2 linked regions of the Coturnix japonica genome follow. The protein of the gene in region 2 interacts with the protein of the main gene of each other region in a biochemical or structural test. Links are inferred from orthologs where the notes say so. Each region holds a gene or a part of one and is shown on either strand. Other genes may lie near its edges.

Region 1 (6,211 bases), on a different chromosome or scaffold from region 2:
AAGTGCTGCAGTTGCACGGAGGTGTTTGTGAGCAGGAAAACAACTCAGTCCAATAGCACCTACAGCTCTCCAGCCAACATGGACAAAGCACTGTGCTCTGTGGGAACAAACAACTGGCTTAGTTTTGCCTCTGCTGGGATACAGTGCTGAAAGGTTAACATCAGAGGGGTAGGATGGGACAGCACTCATTTGTAAGCATTTAGTAATCTTCTGAAATGGAACACCCAGAAATAAAACCTAAAAGCAGAGCTGCACACTCATCACAGCTATAAGTGCTGGTGAGCAGCCACACTGTGGTGATTAGTAAGAGCTTCTCAGAATTACGTACATCTGATTTCTGTAATGGAACAGTTATTTGGTTCGTATGACCCTGACATTTAGATCTGAAGATAGAGTTTCAGAAGCCCTGGTGAAGTCCTGGTTTTCATTATGCAGCCATGTGGGAGGCAGGAGTGCCAGGGCCTTGAGTCAGCTGAAACATTTCCAATAATCATCTGGAGATTAGGATGGAAATACCAGAATGACGACTGAGAGGACACTTGCTTTGCAAGGACTGGAACTATAATAGGATGCAACAAGAAGGCTACTGCAGAGCTCTTGTCTCCAGTACCCCTGAATGACAGACCTGGAGACACAGTGTTAACCCATGGCCTTCACAAAGGCTTTGATTGGCTAGGGAGTCAGAGGAGGACACATTGAGCTGGCTGTTCAAAACCGAGCAGGGACACAGAAGGGTTTTTACCTGTTGGACATTTTCCTGAAGGAGGTTCCCCAGTATCTCCACCAGGTCTGAGAAAGTTGGTCTCTCCTTGGGATCACCATGCCAGCAGCTCAGCATTATACGGTAACTGCCAAGGAGAGGTGATGGTTTTATGTCACAGAAATCCCTTTCTACTACACTCTACAGCTTTAACCCACGTGGTTTCTGCTGGAACAGAGTGTACCTGCGCTGTGAAGAAAACCTTGGTACCCAGCAAATTGAACATGGGCCCTGTGGACCTACTAGAAGGAGGTTCATTGTGTATTGAATACAACTGCAAGCTCAGACAGAGCCAATTTAGACACCTCAGCTACTCTCAAGAGTGGGAAAGCACATTATCCATCTGCAAAGTCATCCCAACGTGGTTCTGCACAAAATTTGGTGGCCATAGATCTGTCCTGCATTTGAACCCATCTGGAATACCCTCCAGGCAGCCACCAAGAGAGGAGAGGTTGTCTCTTCCCAATAGTGGATGAACAGTCTCTGCATCTGCCTGCCCTGCCCTGAATCCATGATGTTTCTGACTCACATTTCTGCAGTAGCATACTCTGGAGCTCTCATCCTGGTACCGTCTTTGAGCCTCTGGCAGAACTCCTCGTTGATCTGGACTCCAGGGTATGGAGATGCCCCTAAAAGAGGTTTGAAAAAGGGTGAGGAAGTGAGAAGATGAAGTGTGCCATCAGAAAACAATTCTTATCCTGAGACAAGGACTTCCTCCTAAAACACATGGGATGTGTGGTCACTTCTGATGCACAGCCCACATCAGTTCTGACCAAGACAGGTTCTTCTGCCTCAGTAAGGAAGAAGCTGCCCCCCATCACCCTGTTCCTTGGTGGATATGGCCTCTGTATTTCTTTTGCCCAGACTGACGTCTTTCCCATCACTCCTCAGACATGCTGCAGAGACAAGGGCCTCATGCACAGATTCATCCACCGAGCTGCTAGGTGGGACAAAAGCCCCTCCTGCCTCAGCAGCACGTGCCCCTCAGCACTCACCCAGTGAGAAGATTTCCCAGAGGAGGACCCCAAAGGACCAGACGTCACTCTGGGTAGTGTAAACCTTGTCAAAGATGCTCTCTGGAGCCATCCACTTCAGTGGGAGACGGGCCTGCAGGAAGGAGAGGCAATGCAGAACTGTTCATTCAAGAACCAGAGACAATAGCCCTGATCCTTCCTCCATGGAGGAGTGGAGGTTTGGTGAAGCCAGAAGGAGGGATGAAGACACTGGAAGAGTATAAAGATAGAGGAGTGCTGATGGGCTGAGCAGCAGAAGGAAGGAGACAAATCTGGTGGTGATGGAAGACTGCACCTCCATCATCAGGCCAATGGTTCCTGGTCCCAGCCACAAATGATTCCACTCCTGCCTTTTTCTATCTTCCTTAGTTTAGTCCATCCCCAAGATGGTACTCACACTGCCTTTTCTGACATAATCAGGGTCTTTGTAGATGTCTCGGGCCAAGCCAAAATCACAGATCTTGACCACATTGTTCTCAGACAGCAGGATGTTGCGAGCTGCTAGATCTCTGTGGATGCACTGAAGGCACATGAAGAGGAAGAAGCAAAATCAGAGGGACAGGAACTGCCATCATAAAGTGCAGAGCATTCCCTTCCCTTATTCTTCCCTTGCTAACCCGAGCTGTAATAGGAGAACTGGGGAGGTGAGAAGGAACTAAAAATAAAGATTTTTAAAGGAGATAAATAAGGGGTTGACAGAATGCAATACAGCCAAGTTCCCACCTTTGTATGTCTGTAACCCAGCTGTGTGCAGGGTTTTGTAGTAATAAATCATAAAATGATTTCACAAACTGGGACGTGAAACTGGAAACAGCCAGTCAAAGAGACTGGCTGTCCATGGGAACCTGTACATACATACACACATGATCTGTGATTACAACAGACCACACCAGGCCATCTCCAGTCAGGCATGCACAAAAGAAGAATAGAGGATGGGAAGGTGTGTGCTCACCTTTCTGGAGGAGAGGAACTCCATGCCACTTGCTACCTGGAAGCTGTAGCAGATCAGGTCCTCCATTGTCAAGGGACTTTGCCACAAGTCATCCACTGTCCAGGGGTACAAAAACATGGTTAGACATTGAGTTGTCTTGTGTCCCACTTGCTGCTCTCTAGAACTGCAGGATACATACAGCCCCAGGGTGAGATACTAGATAGTCCTGTATGGCTATAAGGGACTCTGAAGGTCAGATCATCATTCCTGCCAAGGGAGGACCCACTGAGAAACCCCTTCTGTTCATCTTTCTTTAAGCCAAAAAATAAATCTAAATTAATTTAACCATTCCTTTAGGGTTTCTGAAGTCCATTACAAGAGACAGGAGATTAATACAATAGCCCTGTTGAGGGAATTGCCACACAGCAGTGGAGAGATGAGCTCTGTGGATGGGTCCCTGCTGCCCACTGCCATGCTGTAGCCCATTCTCCAGTTTAAGCAAGTCTGTCATTTTCTTGGCAAGCCAGGTGAGGTATTACCTTCCTGGATTGGCTGTGCTGTCTGGCTCTTGTGCATCAGAAAGCGGTTGAAGAGAGCACTGTCACTAGTCCCAGACCGACTCCTTCTGTCTGCTCTCACTGCCTCCACAATGGACTGGACCTGAATACGCAGCCTGGGTGACTTCTCCTGGCAAGAAGATAAAAGCAAAAACCTCAGCAGGCAACACACACAGCATCCCCTGCACCCATGAGCTGCACAGTCATGTCCTGCTCTTAGACTGTAATTCTGGCCTGGAAGCATTTATCCTCCTCCGCAGAAAGAAATTTCTTCCCTGATGCTGCAGTGAACCAGCATCTCTGTGAAAAACTGACATACTGCCAGACAGAGGCTGTCTTTCCCTCATTGTTAGATTATGTTTCTGAATGCATGTCTTCCCCCCCTATCCATGGGGCAGTTCCTAGGGATAAAGGAGGTTACTTACCCTGTAGGGACTGAATCCTTCTCGCTTGGTCCGCAGGTAATTGGAGAGGTTGCCATACTTGCAGAACTCAACGATAACCATGAGTGGACCTAATGAGAGCAGGGGAAGAGACAAGGATCTGCAATAGCCACAATTTGCCCTGATTCACATTATATCAGCCTTGCTGAGCAGTGGCACCAGGGCTAGGCACACACACCCCCACGTATCCCCACAGTCACATATATGGCCAGAAGAAATGGCACAGGGGATGAGCAGTGATATCTGGGAGCAGGCTCAGCCTGTTGCCCTGTGATATTTACCATTGGGTTTGGTACAGGCTCCCAGCAAATTCACAACATTGAGATGATGCCCAATGTGAATGAGGATTTTCAGCTCTGACATCAGTGCCTTCTGTTCACTTGCAGTAGCTCCCTCTGGAAACAAACAAACCACATCACGGTGATGCCTCCTCACAGCTTTTTCTCTCCCCCTGCCACTCTCTCCTAGCACAGTGATAATGTCAGTCTTGTTGGAGATTGCAATCCCAAAGCCTTCCTACATTTTGTTACTGCTTATTTCCAAATTGAATAGCAGAGCCTTGTCTTTAATGCTGTAATGCAGGAGCAAGGATCCAAAGCAAGAACACAACCTGTGTCCAACACAATTTTCCTTCTGATAGCCGTGCAGAGAAAAAGATCACTTGAGGCTTACATACAGATGCACACGTTTGAATCTCTGCCCTTTTAGCCTCCAAGCAGGGATAATGAGCTGTAAAACCGTTTGAAGGGAAATTAGAAACAAAAAGGCTTTTGATCGTGACTGAAGGCAGGACTGCCTCAACTCCAACCTTTTGAGAAGGCCTTTTGATAATTCCTTTCCAATAGCAAGCACAGGGTTGTGCTCCTGCCAGCTCTCTGCTGCCTTTTCTCCCTGAGTGTTTAATTCACACCAATTCTTGCTCCTCTGTTTTACCCTCAAGGTTCATTCTCTGGTTTTATGTGCATTTTTTCATGCCTTCCTGTATACATTTTACTTGGGAGTTTGCACATTTAGTTTGACAAAGAGAGAAGCATCTTCCTGAGCTGCAGCTGAAGGGCCAGGTAAGAGTCATGCATCAAAGAGCTGTAAAACAGCCTCATACAGCCAGGCTTCCCTCTGCTACTGATCTGCAGATCGTCTGTACACCTGCAGTGTCAGTGCTGCTGAGCCACACCATGATTCAGTTTCTATATACAGGCCACTGCTGACCATGAACTGCCATAATGTTTTCTTGGTTACTGAATTACAGGATGATTACAAGGCAGGCTTTCCCTGTCATCCTTTGTATCCATGTGAACTGCATATTCTACGAGGCTGTCCTCATACCTTTCAGCATTTTGACTGCTACGGTCTCACAGCTGTTGCTTTTATTGATCCCAAAAGCAGATGCTTCCACCACCTTCCCAAAAGCACCGTGACCCAGGACTTTACCTATGAGCAAAGAGAGAGGCACCGTAAAGGAAAGCAGGTGCAGGATGGAGAATGAGGCTAAAAAACAACAACACAAAAAACCTTACAGGAAAACATGGAAAGAAGAAAGAAAAAGAGTCATAAAGGAAAAGGAAGGAGTGCAATATTTGCCCTTCCCAGGTGGCTGCTTGCTTTAGAGGTGAGAATAAGAGAAAGGATGAAGGGAGGAACTGAGAGCTGGCATGGACAAAGTGGAGGAAGGAAATGGTCCTAATGTGGTGAGAGGCTGTTTGTTGCCCTCAAACAGAACAAGTGGAAAAGGTAAATAAGACACCTTGCAGCAGAACAGACAGGGCTAATGTCACTGCTCTGTGTCTCAGAGGAGGTCTGCAGCCCTTACACCTCTCCCAGACAGAGGGAAGAGATTGCAGATGGATGTCACAGCACGAGGACATCCTATCCCAGTCCTGAACTCAGGATATCTCCTATGAATTGGGCTGTTTTGCCCTGATTGTGTAAGAAATCTGGAGGGTGAGTTCCAGGGGCTGGTGGGAAGCTCTGCATGCAGCACGTGGGGGCAGGGATGGGGTTCAGCTCACCCAGGCGCAGGCGGTCTCGTGGGAATTCCCACTTGCTGGCATCATAGGGCAGGCGCTCGCAGTGCTCATCTAAGGGCACTTCGTCAGGATCCATGATGATGGACAGGTAGCCGGTCTTGATGTCTGCATGGGCAGGCTGCAGGAATCACCCAACACAGTGCATGAGAAGATGCCTCCTTTGCCTCCTTCAACCCGCTTTCCCCTGGCAAAGGCTGTTCCATGTCCCCATCTTTACTACGTGCCCCATCCTTGGTTGACAGTCAGGGTGCTTGGAGCACTACTCAGCGACCTTCTTTCAGCAGACACTGTCACATAGCCCCACACCACAGCAATGGGGCTGCCCCAAGCCCATCTGAGCCCCCTCTTCTTCCCCAGAATGAAGACAACCACGTACCCTTTTGATGTTACAGAAGATGAGGATAAGGAGGATCCAGAAGAAAACAGCGATGACCCCAGTCCCAATCAGGATGACAATCTCCACGTTGGTCTTGTCATCAG
Region 2 (5,779 bases):
CAACCTTAACCTGTACATGGGGGAGGACTCCAGGAGGCTGTAGGCGCTCTATGGGGTTGCTGTGAGGGGTGGGCATGCTCCAGCCCTTCTCTCCTCTTTCCACAATGGATCTCCTGCAGAAGAGCAAATACAGCCACCTGCGGAACGAGTCTGTCTCCTCCCTGGAGGAGGCTGTGGGAGCCTTGGGGACCCCAGTGTCCCCTGTGGAATCCCTTGAAGGCATTCGGTCACTGCCTGGCTCGCTGTCATCCTCCTCCCTCAGCCCCATGCTGCCTCTCGGGGAGCTCTCATCCGAATCTGAGGACAGCCCCACCACCCTCTGCTCTTTCTTCCCTAAAATGGCCAACCTGAAGCTCTCCAACCCCGCCAACCTGCTCAGCCTACGGGGCTCATCGACCGGCAGCCTTAAAGATACTGGGAGCTCAGGGCAACCCGTCCTAACCGGGACGCTCACACCGACACCAGGGGGAACAGCCAGCACTAACTCAGTAGGACCTGTCACTGTCTGTTCCCAGGATATGAACAAGCTGAGCTGTGCGAAGAGGACGCGGGTGGAAGGCGGCCAGCTGGGTGGTGATGAATGGACCCGCCACGGCAGCTTTGTCAATAAGCCCACGCGGGGCTGGCTGCACCCAGATGATAAAGTCATGGGGCCTGGGGTCTCCTACCATGTCAGGGTGAGTGCTGGGGTGTCTCTATGGGGTGGGAGTGGGCTTTGGGGGGGGGCTCGTTGTGGGTGGAGGTGAACAGCACAGTGTGGGGACCTGTCCCCTCTTTGCTTATGGGCTGCCATGGGGAGGTGGGGGAGTCAAAGCGAGCCAAGCCCGATGCTGACCCTGCTCTCCTCCATAGTACATGGGCTGCGTAGAAGTCCTTCAGTCCATGAGGGCTTTGGATTTCAACACAAGGACTCAGGTCACCAGGTGAGCCCTGGGGTTGTGTTGGGGGCTTGGGGCTGCCCAGGGTGGGTGTGGAAGTGGAACCAGGCTGTCTGCAGCCATGGAGGAAACTGCCAGGAGATCGATGAGCCTGTCAATGAGCTCGGTCAGGCAGGAAGCACTCCTGCAGCTGCATCAAATATTAACAGCTCGCTCTTCCCCTGTCCCTGCCGGGTCTGGGAATCAGCCTGCACTGCCTGAGGGCTTCCCTTTTGTTCCATGCTTAACCCTGTCCCTTCTGCACTGCTCCTCGTGTCCTCTGCCCAGCGGTGCCCCATAAATATGGCATTGATAGCAGAGCTTTGTCCCTGTGCTGATGCAGGAGGGGACAACAGGGACCCCCAGGCTGACGCTTTGCTTTGCTCCATGCAGGGAGGCCATTGGCCTGGTGTGTGAGGCTGTACCTGGTGCCAAGGGAGCAGTGAGGAGGAGGAAGGTGAGGCTGGACTTGGGAAGCTGCTGATGGGAGCAATTTGAGGGCTGGATCTCAACCCAGCCAGCAGTGCTTAGGGGCTCTGATTGCCCCCATGGCTCAGCATGGAGTGGTGGTGGTGATGAGTTGCCTAATGCTGCTGTTCTCCCCCAGCCCTGTGGCCGCTCTCTGAACTCCATCCTGGGCAAGAGCAACCTGAAGTTCGCCGGCATGCCCATCACCCTGACCATCTCCACCAGCAGCCTCAACCTCATGGCCTCTGACTGTAAGCAGGTGAGAGAGGGAAGCTGCTGTGGGCTGCACTGCTGCCTTCAAACAAGCAGAGATCCATGCATCCCCTTCAGGCCCTGCTGGGGGTGTTCCCATTCTCCCTGGGGATGTGTGGTTTATCTGTGTTTCCTGCTGAGTGCTCATCTCCTGGTCCAGCATGTTCCACCCCATCCATTCCTGGTAGCAAAGGGATCTGAGCAATGCCCTGAATGCCTTGTGGGATCTGTGCTCTGGACCTTGAGACCCAAGTCCCTCAGCCTTGGATGTCTTTTAGTCTCAGTAGCTCTGCTGGTGTCTCAGCCCTTCCTCTGGTTGCCTATGGCTCATAACCAGGGCTCCTGAAGTTTGTTATCCCCACACTGGGCCAGTGCTAGGGTGGGCACTGAGGAGCTGCACCTAACAGTGCTTCTACCTTTCAGATCATTGCCAACCATCACATGCAGTCCATCTCCTTCGCTTCTGGGGGTGACCCGGTGAGTTACAGAGGTTCCCCAACCAGCACATCCTACCCTGTGCTGGGGATCAGAGCCTCTCCTGCCTTCTCCCCTAAGTCTTGGGCACTGAGCAGCCCTGGCTCATCACCACTCTCTCCCACAGGACACAGCTGAGTACGTCGCCTACGTTGCCAAAGACCCCGTCAACCAGAGAGGTGAGGCTGGAATTGCAAGAGCCCCATTTTGGGTGCAGCTCAGAGAGGGATTGGGTCCCTGCAGGGAATCTCTGGGGTGCACAGGGTGGGATCAGGGGGTGTAGGATTTAATCCTGCTCTCATCTCGCTGTTCCCTTCCCAGCCTGCCATATCCTGGAGTGCCCTGAGGGCTTGGCCCAGGATGTGATCAGCACAATTGGACAAGCCTTTGAGCTGCGCTTCAAGCAGTACCTAAAGAACCCCCCGAAGCTGGTGACACCCCACGACAGGTAAGAGAAGGGAGAGATGGGGGTCCATGAGGTCTATTGGTGCTGGGAGGGGATGCAGGCCTGGCTGCTGTCAGCTGTTCAGCTGTGTGTTGTTCCCTTCCAGGATGGCAGGGTTTGATGGTTCAGCCTGGGATGAGGAAGAGGAGGAGCCTGCCCCAGATCACCAGTACTACAACGACTTCCCTGGCAAGGAGCCTCCTATAGGGGGGGTCGTGGACATGCGGCTGCGGGATGGAGCTGCGCAGACCCCCAATCACCTGGGGGCCACACTGGTAAGGCGCTGAGCGTGTCTGCAAGGGGCTGCTGGGGAGGTTCTGCTATATAGGGGAGATGCAAGGACCCCAATGGGGCTGTGGGCTGCACAAAATCCACACCACGCTTCTGTCCAGCACCTCTGGCAGTCCATACTGGGGTTTGGGGAGGGGTAAGAGTACAGCAAGGTCTTTTGGTCTCACCATGTGCCTCTCTACAGCCTGTTGGCCAGACGTCTGGTGGGGAATTTGACCCCAGGAAGCAGCACGGTCCCGCTCAAGGTAATGTGATGGATGTGGCTGGTCCCCATAGGCTTTCCTGGTCCCAAAGTGCTCCAGCAATAAGTGCTGGTGCCGGAGCGCTGCTGACCACAGCGCTTTGTGCAGCAGGAAGAGAGAAATACCCACCTGCAGCGGGTGCGTCCGGCCGTACGGACCTATTTGATGACCCATCTTATGTGAACGTGCAGAACGTGGACAAGACACGCCAAGCAGCAGCTGCAGGCAGCCCTGCAACAGCCAACGGCAGCGCCCAGCGAGACCTCTTCGACATGAGTGAGTGGGGACAGCAGCTGCAGGCTGTGCACTCTGTGCTGGGTGTGTGATGGAGCCCCTTCCTTTTCTCCTGCAGAGCCATTTGAAGATGCCCTTCGTGCCCCCCAGTCTGTGCCCGTGACCGTTCCTCCTGCCCAAGTTGTGGCCTCCATGGAGGAGCAGCTGAGGAGGGAACCGTGGTATCACAGGAAGATGAACCGCAAAGAGGCTGAGAAACTGCTGAAGGTGAATGGAGATTTCCTGGTGAGGGACAGCATCACCACCCCGGGGCAGTACGTGCTGACCGGCCTGCAGGGTGGGCAGCCCAAGCACCTGCTGCTCGTCGACCCCGAAGGAGTGGTGAGTCTCTATAACCCCAAAGCTTGGGGGGCCCTACATCTCCCCACAACCCCACCTTGGGGACACCTCCGGGCTGGCTTAGGGGATGGAGGAGGCCTGGTAAAGCATAGAGGGGACTCCTGGGTGTATCTGCAGCCTCTTGAGTTCCCTATTCCCTGCAGGTCCGGACAAAAGATCATCGTTTTGAGAGCGTCAGCCACCTCATCAGCTACCATATGGACAATCACCTGCCCATCATCTCAGCTGGCAGCGAGATGTGCCTGCAGCAGCCAGTGGAAAGGAGACTGTGAGCTCCAGGGGGGCCTCGGTGCGCACCCCCCCACACCCCCCAGCCCTGCTTCCCACCCTGGGGAGCACCTGGACTCAGCCGGGGCTGAGCGTGGACTGCCTTGGGGATGGTCCTCACCCTCCCACCACCACCACACGAAGCTGGCAGCCCTGGGCTGCAGGCAGCGTGGTGTGAGCTGCCTGTGGGGCCGGGGGGCTGGTAGTGCCAAAGCCCCCTCCTCTCCTCCCAGCTCCAGCCTTTTGCTCAGCTCATACCAAATCCCGGCCCCATACGGTGTCAGCACTGGGGGGCACCAGCCCAGGGCCGGGTTCTGCTCCAGCCTGGTTGGAACTGGGGGTGGCCAGGCTTCATCCCATGAGCAGCACCAGCCCCGAGGGGTTGGGGTGGGGGGGATGGAGTGGGGGGGGCTCACCCAGGGCTGTGCCCTGCGCTCTGCTCCCCAAGCACAAACAAGGCCCGGCCGGCCGCGCACCGAATGTACCCGATCACTTTATGTGTAACTGTGCCTTGACCCCGCAGGTCCCACACATATATGCAATGCAGCCGGGCTGGGGTGGGGGGGCTGCCAGCTCCTTCATGCCCTCCAGGTCCTGCCAAGCCCCTTCTCGGGCACCTCCCTTAAAGCCGGAGCTGGCCGGGTCCCCACTGCATGCACCTCGACCCCCCCCCGAAGCCAAAGCGCAGCCCAGCCCCGGCCCCGCTATAACCAAAGGATCCGGCGGTTCGTATTAAAGTTGGTATTTCTTTACGATGCGGCTGCTGTGTTGGGGAAGGGGCGGGTTGAGAACCTAAGGGGGTGGCGGCCGGGACCCCTCCCCCCTGAGCCCCCTCCCCATGGTTCCTCCCTCCCCCCTGAGCCCCCCTAACGTGGTTTCTTCCTTCCTCCCCCCTGGTCCCGCCTCCCCCTGGTTCCTCCCCCTCGTCCAGAGCCCCCTCCCAAATGGTTTCTCCAGCCTGAGCCCTCCCTGCCCATGGTTTCCTCCCCCCAGAGCCCTCCTCCCTCGGTTCCTCCCCCCCCGACCCCCCCCCGACCCCCTTCATAGGTTCCTCCTACCCCCCTGACCCCGTCCCATTGGTTCCCTCCTCCCCCACCCCCAACTGTGGTTTTCTTTTCCTCCCTCCTCTCCTGAGACAGCCTCCCTATGGTTTTCCTCCCCCCTAAGACACTAACGTGGTTCTTCCCGCCCCCCCCCTCTAAAAGTGGTTTCTTCCTCTCTGCCCCCCGAGGCGCCTCCCATGTTCCTCCTCCACCCCTGAACCCCTCGGTGGGTTCATCCCCCTGAGCCCCTCCCCTGGTCCCTTCCCCCCCCCCGAGCCCCCTCCCATCTGGTTCTCCCTCCCCCCTGAGCCCGCTCCCATGGTTCCTTCCTTTTTCCTCCCCACCGACGCACCCTAACGTGTTTCTTCCTTCCTCCCCCCTAAGCCCCCTTCCACATGGTTCTCCCCCCCTGAACCCCTAACGTGGTTTCTACCCCCCCGCCCTAACTGTGGTTCCTTCTCCCCGATAGATTTTGATTCTCCCCCTGAGCCCTCCATGGTTCATCCTCCCCGCCCCCTAACATGGTTTTCTTCTGTTCTCCCCGCCCCTAAAGCGCGTTCATCCCTCCCTACCGCCAACACCCTGAACGTGGTATCTTACTCCCGCCGCCGGCGGCGTCGCTCCGTGTTCTCCCACCTCTTCCCCCCACCCGCCCCGCGCACATGGTTCGCCCCACGCCCCGCCCCTCGCGCAGCGATTGGTCCCTGAGTAACATCCGGTCCCGGAGTAACATCCGGTCCCGGAGTA

The links. The genes of interacting proteins can lie anywhere in the genome.
Region 1: the proteins of SHC1 (region 2) and FLT4 form a complex in vitro, tested with the Homo sapiens proteins (2 studies listed by BioGRID). The link is inferred for Coturnix japonica from reciprocal best matches to the Homo sapiens genes SHC1 and FLT4.

The regions. Positions count from the first base shown.
Region 1 is NC_029528.1:4,691,920-4,698,130, forward strand, and holds part of FLT4 (vascular endothelial growth factor receptor 3), read right to left. Parts: coding exon 6,108-6,211; intron 5,850-6,107; coding exon 5,714-5,849; intron 5,136-5,713; coding exon 5,031-5,135; intron 4,100-5,030; coding exon 3,986-4,099; intron 3,776-3,985; coding exon 3,687-3,775; intron 3,392-3,686; coding exon 3,244-3,391; intron 2,821-3,243; coding exon 2,726-2,820; intron 2,294-2,725; coding exon 2,171-2,293; intron 1,868-2,170; coding exon 1,756-1,867; intron 1,390-1,755; coding exon 1,290-1,389; intron 849-1,289; coding exon 743-848; intron 1-742. UniProt on the Homo sapiens protein: Tyrosine-protein kinase that acts as a cell-surface receptor for VEGFC and VEGFD, and plays an essential role in adult lymphangiogenesis and in the development of the vascular network and the cardiovascular system during embryonic development.
Region 2 is NC_029540.1:1,436,385-1,442,163, forward strand, and holds the end of SHC1 (SHC-transforming protein 1), read left to right. Parts: 5' UTR 1-74; coding exon 75-677; intron 678-852; coding exon 853-923; intron 924-1,310; coding exon 1,311-1,374; intron 1,375-1,524; coding exon 1,525-1,644; intron 1,645-2,060; coding exon 2,061-2,114; intron 2,115-2,238; coding exon 2,239-2,290; intron 2,291-2,432; coding exon 2,433-2,559; intron 2,560-2,662; coding exon 2,663-2,831; intron 2,832-3,031; coding exon 3,032-3,092; intron 3,093-3,197; coding exon 3,198-3,365; intron 3,366-3,441; coding exon 3,442-3,704; intron 3,705-3,865; coding exon 3,866-3,994; 3' UTR 3,995-4,741; downstream 4,742-5,779. UniProt on the Homo sapiens protein: Signaling adapter that couples activated growth factor receptors to signaling pathways. Participates in a signaling cascade initiated by activated KIT and KITLG/SCF.